Bombyx mori: one gene and its partners. The protein of the gene in region 2 purifies or fractionates together with the protein of the main gene of each other region. This does not show direct contact. Links are inferred from orthologs where the notes say so. Each region holds a gene or a part of one and is shown on either strand. Other genes may lie near its edges.

What was found.
Region 1: the proteins of DnaJ-15 (region 2) and 116 kDa U5 small nuclear ribonucleoprotein component purify together in Homo sapiens (affinity purification with mass spectrometry; 4 studies listed by BioGRID and IntAct, with this or other methods). This does not show direct contact. The link is inferred for Bombyx mori from reciprocal best matches to the Homo sapiens genes DNAJC17 and EFTUD2.
Region 3: the proteins of DnaJ-15 (region 2) and cell division cycle 5-like protein purify together in Homo sapiens (affinity purification with mass spectrometry; 3 studies listed by BioGRID and IntAct, with this or other methods). This does not show direct contact. The link is inferred for Bombyx mori from reciprocal best matches to the Homo sapiens genes DNAJC17 and CDC5L.

What each region holds. Positions count from the first base shown.
Region 1 is NC_085121.1:1,483,650-1,487,997, forward strand, and holds the start of 116 kDa U5 small nuclear ribonucleoprotein component, read right to left. Parts: upstream 2,954-4,348; 5' UTR 2,821-2,953; coding exon 2,630-2,820; intron 2,401-2,629; coding exon 2,171-2,400; intron 1,682-2,170; coding exon 1,430-1,681; intron 1,160-1,429; coding exon 902-1,159; intron 473-901; coding exon 231-472; intron 1-230. Other genes in the region: nucleolar complex protein 4 homolog B, read left to right, coding at 3,395-3,517, 3,613-3,721. UniProt on the Homo sapiens protein: Required for pre-mRNA splicing as component of the spliceosome, including pre-catalytic, catalytic and post-catalytic spliceosomal complexes. Component of the U5 snRNP and the U4/U6-U5 tri-snRNP complex, a building block of the spliceosome.
Region 2 is NC_085124.1:8,540,685-8,544,396, reverse strand, and holds DnaJ-15 (uncharacterized protein LOC101739460), read right to left. Parts: upstream 2,251-3,712; 5' UTR 2,191-2,250; coding exon 2,116-2,190; intron 1,648-2,115; coding exon 1,041-1,647; intron 908-1,040; coding exon 720-907; 3' UTR 685-719; downstream 1-684. Other genes in the region: CWF19-like protein 2 homolog, read left to right, coding at 550-684. UniProt on the Homo sapiens protein: May negatively affect PAX8-induced thyroglobulin/TG transcription.
Region 3 is NC_085115.1:11,711,727-11,716,168, forward strand, and holds the start of cell division cycle 5-like protein, read left to right. Parts: upstream 1-1,556; 5' UTR 1,557-1,814; coding exon 1,815-1,859; intron 1,860-1,942; coding exon 1,943-2,208; intron 2,209-2,733; coding exon 2,734-2,864; intron 2,865-3,440; coding exon 3,441-3,600; intron 3,601-3,813; coding exon 3,814-3,982; intron 3,983-4,170; coding exon 4,171-4,305; intron 4,306-4,442.

The DNA of each region.
Region 1 (4,348 bases), on a different chromosome or scaffold from region 2:
AAGCCACACTAGTAATTTCCTATAAGATTGGGCTAGACAGGAATTTGTATAGAGAATGAGGAGAGCGTAATGTGCATTATTGATATGGACTCTTTAAGCCTACACCTGTGTTACAAGTCCACTGGCATTCTCTAAATACCTCTCTCCGCACCATAACGGGTCCGGTATCTGCAGGGTCAATCCATGGATTGTTGATATTTTCTAATTAATTATTATTTACAATCAATTACTTGAGCAAAAATCTTGTACAGCGGCTCCAATATGAACTCCACGAAGCTTCTCTGAGCAGAGGCATGAGGTTGTTTCTTCGTGAAGCGTCTAGTCTTCGCGTTGAAGTAGACATCGCCCCACAGCCAGCCCGCCATGTCGGATGCCCGCAGTCCGCACGCAGGGTACGAGGCAGCGTACATCGCCGCAAACGATTCCAGAGAGAAACACACGTCGTACAATGTTGACGCGAAGCAGACATTACCTGGACAACAGTATACTCATTCAACTTAGCAATCGCCTTAAAAATGGATTAAAGTATTCATTTCTCTTATTTGTGTAGATGGCTACATAATTACCATTTGAATTCACATTTGGTCCAAAGAGTACTTTATGGTAGGCAGCGGCTTGGCTCTGCCCCTGGCTAAGCTGACGTCCATGAGCGACGGTGACCACTTACCATCAGGTGGGCCGTATGCTCGTCTGCCTACAAAGGCAATAAAAAAATAAAAAAAATAAAAATGAAAAAAAAAAACAACTTTTGGCAATGTTCTGTACCTTATCTAAGACACAATGTTTATTTGAAATTGATCCATTCCAATTGACATGAAACTTAGTACAGTACAATTGTTGTTACTTATACTCCAGGTATGGTTGGTGACAAACCTGGCTATAGGAGATACTAATAACTTACCCAGAAGTGGTGAAAATACAATTGGAGGCTCATCAGGATTATCCTGAGGTTGATTGGTCTCCAGCATAGAATTCAGCTCATCAATAATATGCCTGAGCTTATAATAGGCATCTGCAGGAGGTAATTTTAGCTCAAGCATTAGCCTGTCTATTTTGTTGATGCAAAGAGTTAAATGAATTCTTTCTTGTACTGCATGACGTAACATTCGCTCCGTGTTGAGCATTATACCTTCAGCAGCGTCCACAAAGAGTACCGCTCCTATAAAAGACAAAATTAACCTGTATTTGTTTATACTGAAACCTCTTTTTAAAAAATATTTTAAAATGAATTTTCATAGGCAGCATTTGTGAAGCGTGTACATTTTTGATAATAACCTCAACAATTAAAAATGCTCAGATGTCGACTTATGGTTATAATGTCAAATAAAGAAACACACATGACTTTGATTGTTGGTTAAATTGCTTTTATGAGTATTGAGAATTGATAAGTATTTCACAAATAAGCTTTCCTCTTCAGTAAAAAAATTACCATCCGATATCCGCAAAGCAGCAGTCACCTCATCACTGAAGTTCACGTGACCTGGAGTATCCATGATATTCAATAAATGTGACTTTCCCTTTATATCCTTCAATAGCAATGTTACCGGCATGGACTTTATCGACACTCCTCGCTCTTGCTCCACAAACAGAGTATCTGTATACCTTATAGGTATTGTTGTCTCATTGTTAATTGTTCCAGGATGTGTCTGTCTCATGAGACAGTCTACAAAAGATGTTTTTCCTGAAATAAAACAGTTTTAAGAAGATCAAATAACACTCACTAATTTTCGATAGGAAATATGAAATTTCTTTTTCTGATCTGCACATTTTTTTATTTTTGTTACTAAATCCTATTTTAGATTAATATTGATCACTTAAATCTTAGTCTTTTCTTCAGTTTTCTTGCATTTAATCATCATCATCATCATCATCATCATCATTTCAGCCTATCGCCGTCCACTGCAGAAAATAGGCCTCTATATATAATAATAATAATATAATTCCAATAGTTTCATTTTATTTTATTCAATACACTTTAAAGATTTTACGGTTATCTGTGTGTACATAGTATAAAGTAGTTTTTATGAAACTCAACATTATAAGTTGAATGGTAATTATAGAAAATGTAATAATAATAATCAAATTAATTTATTATTAACAAATAAAAGCTCTACAAAAAGCTCATGGATGACTTGTCTCTTATTTATTTCATTGAAATCACATCACATACCATTGTGCAAGTGGCCCATTAACGTAATATTTCTGATTAAGTTAGTATTATCTAACATGTCAGCCATGTACTCCATGTCGTAGGTGGTCTCTGGTAGCTGCTGTTCTTGAACCTGGAACTTCTTGTGTTTCACAGGCTCTACCAGGGGTTTGTCGAGAGCCTGTGTATCTTCTTCTTGGACGACTGTCTCTACGTCGGGTCCATACACTTCTACAGCTTGAGGATAGTAACTGAAGTTTGATGGTTAATAATGTTATTATTAATCAATAACTAATTTTAACAAATACCAAAACAGAGCATAGCTTTTCTCAGTACTTTTTTCTTTGTTAAAAATATTAGGTATTCGAGGTCTGAGTGTGCTTGTTCTATGGTCTAGCATGTGCGTCGCTAGTACCGGTAAAGTGGGTTAACATCTTGTAAGGCCGCTTTATTTGTTAGTTTTAAATGAAAAAGTTTTACCGTTTGTCCTCATGAAGAACGACGGACATAGGCGCAACTTCGGGCTCCGCGTCTGCGTCCTCGTCCTCCTCCATTGCTTCCTCATCACCTTCACGATTATCCTGACCATATACACTCTGTTCGTCTTCAGAATCAGACTCCAAGTCTGGCCCGATGTAGTTTCCAAATTCGTCATATAAATCTCCGTCCATTTTTAATATTGATAACTATATTTTGAAAATATTTCCGAAAAATAATTATCCAAAACAACTGCCGATGCTCTAAAGATTGTTTTGAACAAGTTTTGACTTTGACAGCAAGATAACCTTAAAATCTGGTTTCATTTCTAAACGAAAATAAACGAATTGGACTGTATGAAAAAAACATAGGTAAAGAGCAGCACTAATAATTTAGCAATGTTTTAATACTATCAAAAAATATCATTTAAATGTCTTATGGTTAGTTTTTAAACTAATATTTCGTAATAATATTTGTGTATTTTCACAGAGATTATTTTAATGCAAGCTTACATTGTTGCTCTAGTGGTTTGTTTTTTTAGATAATATAGTTAAAACGATTAAAAAGATTTGATGTGAACCTACTTTAATATAAAGCTATTAATTCTGATTTTGATTTCAATTAATATATTTTTAGAAAATAAAATAAGAGTTTCCTAGGCACAGGCATGTTCATTAGTCGTTTACCTAATTACTAAACGAAACCATATTTTCTAAGGTTGCCCGCCTGATCAGTTGTCACTTTTTGTCAATCCTTTTCAATACAAAAATGGCTGCTGTGCAACAAAATTTTTCGAAAATGATTTCGGGACAGCTTCGTAATAAAGCAAATGAGTTTCTTAACTCCAGAAAACATGCGAACAATCTTGCTGATATATTGCAGATGTTTGAGGTGAGCATGAAATCCCTTGTTCATTTAGTACAACGAAAAATGTAATGCGTCATAGGTTACATTTGTAATTCGTGATTTTAACATTTATATTACAGGTCGAAACAGACAATTATACGCCGCTAATGCTTACAATAGAAGTAATATTCACCGAACTATTAAAACGGGGCGATTTAGTCCAGGAAATAGTTCCATTAAAGCCTGCAGGTATGATTTTGTTTTGCCGCACGAAAATGTGTTTTTGAATTGAATATATCGATTTTAGCATGGTGCGAACCTGACTGTACGTAGATATACGTTGTGTTTACGTAGTATGTAAGCTGTGTTACGTTGCGAAAAATGTTGCTGTCTAAATTTGTCAATTTAGCTGCATACTAATTGACATTTGCTTTTAAAAAACATTTGAATAAATATATGAAATACTGCAATTATTGCAGTTGAACCGTAATTACGAAGCTAACACGTTGGGATTTTAAGTACTAACGATTCAGTTTTTAATTGAAAAAAAAAGTAGTCATATAAATATATTTTTTACTAAATAAAGTTTGCAATTTGCTATTGTGTGGGCTGTCACTAGTTTCAAGGTCGTTTCTGTAGATATGTTTGTCTATTTAATTATCTTCAGGTTTAGTTATCTTATTTTATAACTTATTTTGTCAAAATTAAACTCAATGTGAAGCTATCATTAGCATATTTTGAATCAAAATCTCAATTGTGTTAGTTGCTTGATAGAAATTAAAATGAATTAAGAAAACTACTCCACACTTTAATGGAGAACTAGACTTTTTAGAAATATATTTTGAAATCAATGTTTTTCCCTGATTATTATTAAAA
Region 2 (3,712 bases):
TTAGAGCTGTGAGCGTACACTTGATGACACTGATTTTGCTTATTGTGGTGTTCTTCAATAGTGAATATTTTTTCATTGGTAAAGAGGATATTTCTGTGTATTTTATTTTTTATTTTTACTGGTGATAGAACCTCTTGTCAGTTTGCACCGATACGTACCACCACCCTGCCTGTTTCTCTCGTGAAGCAGTAATGCGTTTCGGTTTGAAGGGTGGGGCAGCCATTGTAACTATACTGAGATCTTAGAACTCATATCTCAAGGCTGCACTTACGTTGTAATGTCTATAGGCTCCGATAACCGCTTAACACCAGGTAAGCGGAGAGCTCGTCCACCCATCTATGTAATAAATAAAAAAGTAATGAAGACGAAAAATGTGAAATGGCGCGAAATCGAAAGAATTTTTTTAAATTTTGTTCTAAATTCAAAATAATTAAAAAGTTGAAAAAAGAAAAGTTTTTATGTAAAAGTATTTATGGCCAGACTAATTATAAAAATTATATCTAAGCCCCCTATCAAAAACAGACATTATTTTTACTTTACCATTTACAGGAAATAATTGCTGGAATATTGGACTTAGATCATAGAGCATGGAAAAACCCACAACGAGAATATGGTGATGTGCAAAGGAAGAAGGTCTTAGAATTTATAAATGGCTGGAAACCATTTGATCCTGTAAAAAAATAGTGTTTTACTAATAAATAATTAGAACTTATTTTGTTTTATTTTTCATTTTTCATCATTTCTTCAATAAGTTTTTGTCGTTCTGCAGCTTGTCTCATTTTTCTGAAAACTAGAGACTCATAATCTCTATCTGATACCAAAGATGGTTCTCCATTGACTGTTTTATTGGTAGTAAGCACTGGTCTATCATTAACCCATTTTAAAGTTAAAGGGTTGTCAGGTAGGCCTGAAATGACACTCAAATTATAAATTTTTATCACAAAAAATATTTCATGAACTTTTTAATGTCTCTTATAGTATCGAGACCAGCTAACATGGGCAGCTTAACTGTAGGTAAAAAGTAATACTATTTAGATTACCTTTTTCTAACTGAACAGCCATTTCTGCTGCTTCCTTAGTAGCAAATTCTATTAAGGCACTACCTCGACTCTTGGATGATATTACTAAAGCAACAATGTCACCATATTTCTTCAAGAACTTTCTTAATGTAGCTTCATCATAAGTACTATTATTCTGATCAGTTTTATCAACTTTCCACTTAATCTTAATTCTATTCAAACTTGGATCCCAAACAGGTTCTTTCATTCGTTCTACACTTTTTTGTATTTCATTTTTCATTCTTTGTTGCTCTTCCAATAATAGACGACTTCCCTCTCTTTGTAGCCTTTCAATCTCTTTTGCAAGTCTCTGAGAATCTGTAAGGTTTGTATGTGTGCCAGATGCTGCTTCTCTTTCTCGTTTTTCTAAATCTTCTTTGAGTTTTTGTCTTTTACTGTCTAATTCTTGATGCCTTAACTTTGCGGAAGCTTTAGCACGTAGCACTTTATCATAAGCTGCTCTAGCAGAAGTATCAGTTAATATTTCTAATGCTTGGGATAATTCGTGAAATGTTTCTGCCGCTTTAGGGTCATCTGGGTTTTTGTCTGGGTGGCATTGTAAAGCCTTTTTTCTGTATGCTTTTTTGATCTTGAAATATTATAAAAATCAATTTTAACCTGTTTAGTTATCACCATGATTTTGGTCACAAAACCATGTTTATGGATAAGCCACCATGGACCTAAGTACTAGTGAACACAAATGTGAAAGAAATACAAGCTAGTTGAGTTTGTTTGCTCATTCTTCTCAGAGCTGTGGCATTTTTTAACACATAGTTCAAGACATAGGGCATTCATGTTGAGATAAATAATTTGAATTTGACTACCTTACCACCAGTTAATCACAAATGTCTCGAGGTACATATTCACGATGTGCTGCCTATAGGCACCGGTAGCCGCTTAATATCGTTCCTCGCTACATCAAGGCGAAATCTAAACAAATCGACTAAGGTCCTCGACCTTGACCACCGTTGCCTTTCGACTCATTAAGCCTAAAGTACATGACGAAGGCTGGTAGTAGACGTAGAATGTAATAAGTATTTTCGTTCGCTTTGTTTACCTCCGATTCGGTTGCAGTTATTTGTAAATCAAGCACAGCATATAGGTCAATTTCTTCAATATTTATTTTCGTCATTTTATTTAAATTTTCAAAGTCAATATTATTTTTTGTTTGAGTTTTATAGTCGGATTTTTTATTAGACGAAGTCAACTGACGTTTACTGTGTTGTCAGTTTTTGAGTATGTACCGGTAAAATGGGGCGATTAGGGATTGAAAGGCGAATCGGGAAAAAACCGGGAAAATCTTTCGACGCTCAATATAAGTTTTATATTCGTTGCAAAATCTTCCATTTTTTTGTAGTTTAATAGTAGAATGTTGAAAGTTCACAAAACAACTCTGCATATGCATGATAATAGCTGCTAACTTATAAAAAATCGCGTTTCAAATTAAATTTCTTGTGGTGGTAATTATTTTAGTGCTAGAAACTTTACTCTCTTTTATTTATTTGATAATAATAGAAGACGACGATGATTTATAAACGTTATTTAGGGTTTGAACCAGCATATATATTAAAGGTAAGTCTCAGTTGTTATTGGTTTTAATGTATTTGATTAAATAAAAATACATGTAAAAATCTGTTGTTTTTGGGGATATTGGGGACGTCTTAGGTACAAATAACAACGAAAAAGGGGTCAATTGGGATGAGCATACGTGAAATGGAAACGACCTAAGTATAAATAGGTACAGGTTTGTAGGGTTGTCTATGTAGTTATAACAATATTTTTTAAATTTGTTGGTAAAAATCTGGTTTATCGAAGCGAAATTGGGAATAAGTCTTTAGTTGAAATAGATAAGCAATTTAATATAAGTAAGTCGATTTTGCAGAGACATGTAACAAGATCAATGAAATCTCAAGGTGGACAAAAATGTCTTACATAATAAAATATTTAATATTTGTTCAGAGTGGGGGTATTCATCTGATTAATCCATGGAATAACCGACACACCTAATCTCTTAACCCAGATAGAAATATCAGCCCCTAAGTACTTACCAAGAACGGAGAAATATAAACCGTTTCTAAGAAAGCCCACTATATATGTGTAAATATATATATATATATTTTTTTTTTTTTGTTGTTACTGCACTGTCGATTGCACCTATAATTGAGGTGATGTCTGCCATGTACTTTTGTCAGTTTTTCTATTTTTTTTATTGATGATCACTTTGTTGGTGCAACTAAATAAATAAATAAATTAAAACTATATATAAAAATACAAGTAGTGCCAACCCTAGCAAATTTCTCATTTCGTCCCAATTAACCGCAATTTTCGGGTAAATAGGGATTACACCTATTTTTGCATTTTTTGCTTAAACTGGAATGCTAGTTGCATAATTTTAAATTAGACAACAAAGATGCCCCCAAGACTCAATCATTTTGATCCTGATATAGCATTATATACATCAACAACTACCTTAAAATTGCTCATAAAGTTGGAATTTGTCCCTAATCGCCCCATTTTACGGTACCTATTCTATGTATTATCTGTGACTGTTTTTTATGGGATTTTATGACCTGGTAACTAAGACCTTTAAGTCATGTCTTATTTTAATTTATATTCTTATTTTCATGAAAAATGATAATATGGAGTGAAATGAA
Region 3 (4,442 bases), on a different chromosome or scaffold from region 2:
CTACAGAAGTTTGTGTCATATACAGAGTGTCCCAGAACTCAACATCTAGCCGAATCGGGGTGACAGGATTGATTGTAACCATGCGTTTGTTATCAGCAAATGTCCCTACACGTAAATTCAACAATTCCTGAATCACGGTCATAAGATGTCACACAGTTGATAGATGTTCTCGTATTTCTCTTGCTAAATCAAAAGAATGGAAAGCAGTCGACATCACCCCAAACACGTCATTTCGGATCCTCCCGATCCACTAACGGTGCTTTTAGGTACCTCAAGCACCGATCACCGTTCCCGTCGAACCCGTCGCTTGCGAGGAAGGGCTCGTCGAGTAAATTAACCCTCAGACACAGCCCACTGAGTTTCTCGCCGGATCTTCTCAGTGGGTTGCGTTTCCGATCCGGTGGTAGATTCTGCGAAGCACGGCTCTTGCTAGAGTTCGTGTTAGCAACGTCGTCAGATTTGAGCCCCGTGAGTTCACCTACTAGTTAAGGTTCTGCTGAAATAGCCTCGCAAGGCTATCAGCTTAGGTAGGAAAAAAAAAGCTAAATCATACTTACCTGGCGTAGGGATACCGTGATTATGCAGGCGGTTTCCACAGGGTGAGGCTGCTCCATTGCACTGCGGGTTGGTTGATTCTTGCGATTATTTTAATTTTTATAAGTTTCACTTCTACCGTGTCACACGTAATGTGTGTGACATGCACACACACATTTTTTTCTTCTGATTTTTCTCATGATGGCTTTTTTTTTCTTTTTTTTTTTGGCTTAGATGGTTGGACGAGCTCACAGCCCACCTGGTGTTAAGTGGTTACTGGAGCCCATAGACATCCACAACGTAAATGCGCCACCCACCTTGAGATACAAGTTCTAAGGTCTCGAGTATAGTTACAACGGCTGCCCAGCCCTTCAAACTGAAACGCATTACTGCTTCAGGGCAGAAATAGACAGGGCGGAGGTACCTACCCGTGCGGATTCACAAGAGGTCCTAACACCAGTAATTACGCAAATTATAATTATGCGGCTTTTATTTTTATTACACGATGTTATTCCTTCACCGTGGAAGTCAATCGTGAACATTTGTTGAGTACGTATTTCTTTAGAAAAATTGGTACCCGCCTGAGATTTGAACACCGGTGCATCGCTCAACACGAATGCACTGGACGTCTTATCCTTTAGGCGACGACGACTTCATATGAGAAAACTTGGGGCAGTTGTGTCATTATTTTTGAGTGCGGTTCTAGAAATGTTATGTAGGGTTACGGTTCCAAAGTTTAAATGAACAAAAATAACAAAAATTAACCACAATAACCGAAAAATGGTTAAAGTTTGACCAAATTTCTAGGTTTTTAATGGCCATAATTTCCAAACTGGATGGGATAGATTTTTTTTCTGATTTTTCTCATGATGGTTACAATCAATCCTGTCACCCCGTTTCGGCTTGACGTTGAGTTCTCACACACCCTGTATAGTTTAACAAATAAGATATGACCTAAAGGTCTATGTTACGTTAGGTCATAAAATAAAAAATATATATATTGAAATTTTTATTTTACCTATATCTTGTGTATGTATTGTCTATGGATTAAAGGCTATATGGGCTTAGATCCCCTTGCCTTTCCTAATAAGGAAAATTTGTACAAAAAAAAATGTCGATGGATTATAGAATTTAGATTTCATTGATTTATCCTTACATCTCAATTTATTAAATTTTCGCTAAATGGAGACGTTTTAATGAAAATTATTGCATATTTAAGTAGTAGTTATTCAAATTTAATTGATTTCATTTATTTATAAGCTGAATAAACACTATCCAACATGCCCCGGATTATGATAAAAGGTGGCGTTTGGCGCAACACCGAGGTTTGTTATTTTACTATTTTGTATTCTTTATTAATACTTTCTTATGATTCCTTAATACTAATGTTATTTGTGTGTCACTTTAGGATGAAATCCTTAAAGCGGCTGTAATGAAATATGGGAAAAATCAGTGGTCTCGTATAGCTTCGTTGCTCCATCGTAAATCTGCAAAACAATGTAAAGCCCGTTGGTACGAGTGGTTAGATCCAAGTATAAAGAAAACAGAATGGTCCCGAGAAGAGGACGAGAAGTTGTTGCACTTGGCCAAATTGATGCCAACTCAGTGGAGGACCATTGCTCCTATCATCGGACGTACTGCTGCACAATGTTTGGAAAGATACGAATATTTGTTGTAAGTAATTAATTATCTTGTTAAGTTTGAGTTCCTTGTATCTAATAAAACAGAGTAAAGTAGTTAGGTTTGGTTTCAATCACTCACATAGGTATCTGAAAAAGTTGCTTTGGTGTTAGCATCAATAATTAATCACACTAAACAAATCAGGCAACAGTAAGCAAGATAGATAGTGTAGAACTAGAGATCTGAATTGACCATCTTGTAGTTTGTGTGATGATTAAATACAATTATTTTAATATTCTAAATAGACAGATGGGGTTCATAGACATCATAATGTGAATGTGACTGCCATACAGCTTTAGAAATAATGTGGAAATCAATTGTTTTATGCAACGGCTATCTCGCTTTTCAAGTTTAAAGCATTCTTCTTTCAAGCATATTTTCCAGTTTAAAAATGCTGGATCTTCGGCAAATGGAACAGAAATGGAACAAAAACACAGGTTCACAACACAATCTGTCAGACCACAGATGCTTATCTATGAATATTATAAAATTCTGTAAACTCCTTTAATTCTCATCTAGAGACCAAGCCCAAAAGAAAGAGGAAGGTGAGGACATGGGTGATGATCCACGTAAGCTGAAGCCTGGTGAGATTGATCCTAATCCAGAAACAAAACCTGCTAGACCTGATCCAAAAGATATGGATGAAGATGGTAAGCAAATCATATTTGAAAAATCATTTAGTCTTTTAGTTATGAATTCAGTTAATAATGTGAATTTAGGTTAGAGTTCACTGTATAGTTTAGTATATTTTTGCATAATTGAAAACACAGAATGTAAAAAGAACCATTAGCTCTTAAAAATGAAGACAAGTTAGTGATAGTTATGAATTCCAAGTATGTTGATGATGCACTTCATGCTGATTTCAACAACAGCAACAAGTTTTTACATCGTCCCATAAGTGATATACTCATTTTAGCTGTATATCTTTAAGAATGTATGTGTGAACAACATCAGAAGTTTACACGTGCTGTGTTTCATTTTTGTGTCACAATGATCTTTTTCCTTCAAATTTATAAAAATGAAGACTAGATAAAAAATTATTGTTGATCACGATATAATTTTGGCTTTAAGAGTGATACTTTTACACCAGCTAGAGAGGCCATTTAGAAAATGTACACTATAGACTTTGAGGGTAAAGAACGAGTGCTGTACATGTACTTCACAGCCAAAGCTTAGAATTGTATTGTTTCATGATTTTTGATTATAATTTTATTCTTGATAACTAGAATTGGAGATGCTCTCAGAAGCTCGTGCACGTTTAGCTAACACTCAGGGTAAGAAAGCTAAAAGGAAGGCTCGTGAAAAGCAATTAGAAGAGGCCCGTCGTCTTGCTGCACTACAGAAGCGAAGGGAACTCAGTGCTGCTGGGATAGCTGTACCATTAAGGTTTAAAAACACAATAAGTTATATGTATATGAAATAGACAAAAAAAAGTAAATATTTTACATTCAATTGGTCGTGTAAAATTGAGTAACATTTTTATATTTTTTAAGATTGTCTTTGCATAGGCGGATGAACAAGCTGATAGCCTACTTGCTGTTATTATTATTATTATTTATAATAATATTATTATTAATATAATGCTTCATTGTTCCCCAGGCGTAAAAAAAAACGTGGCGTTGATTATAATGCTGAGATACCATTTGAAAAGAGACCAGCGTCTGGTTTCTATGACACTTCGACTGAAGTAGTTGATCCCATGGCTCCTGATTTCTCAAGACTCCGACAACAACACCTTGACGGTGAATTACATTCTGAGAAAGAGGAGGTTGGTTACATGTACTTAATTTATACTTAAAGTTGTTAAGTTAGGGAAGTAAGGAAGTAGGGAATATGAGATGCTGCTTCTATCTACATTTTTTTTATATTCATGTATATTTTTTCTACCTATCTATTCTGTGGTTAAAAATTATAAAGATTTTATTTTATTACAAAATTTTATTCTAATATTTTTAGAGAGAACGTCGCAAGGATAAGCAAAAGTTAAAACAACGCAAGGAAAATGATGTGCCACAAGCCATGCTACAAGGTGATGCTCCGGCAAGAAAACGCAGCAAACTTGTGCTGCCAGAGCCACAAGTTACTGATCAAGTATGTTATTTTTTAATTCCATCTATCAAAAGTAGATCTACTGTGATCATTGATAGACCAAATATCAAAAACTTTAAATAACTGTTGAAAATTAAAATATTGAAGAGAAATCAAAATTATAAGTTTTTACAATTATT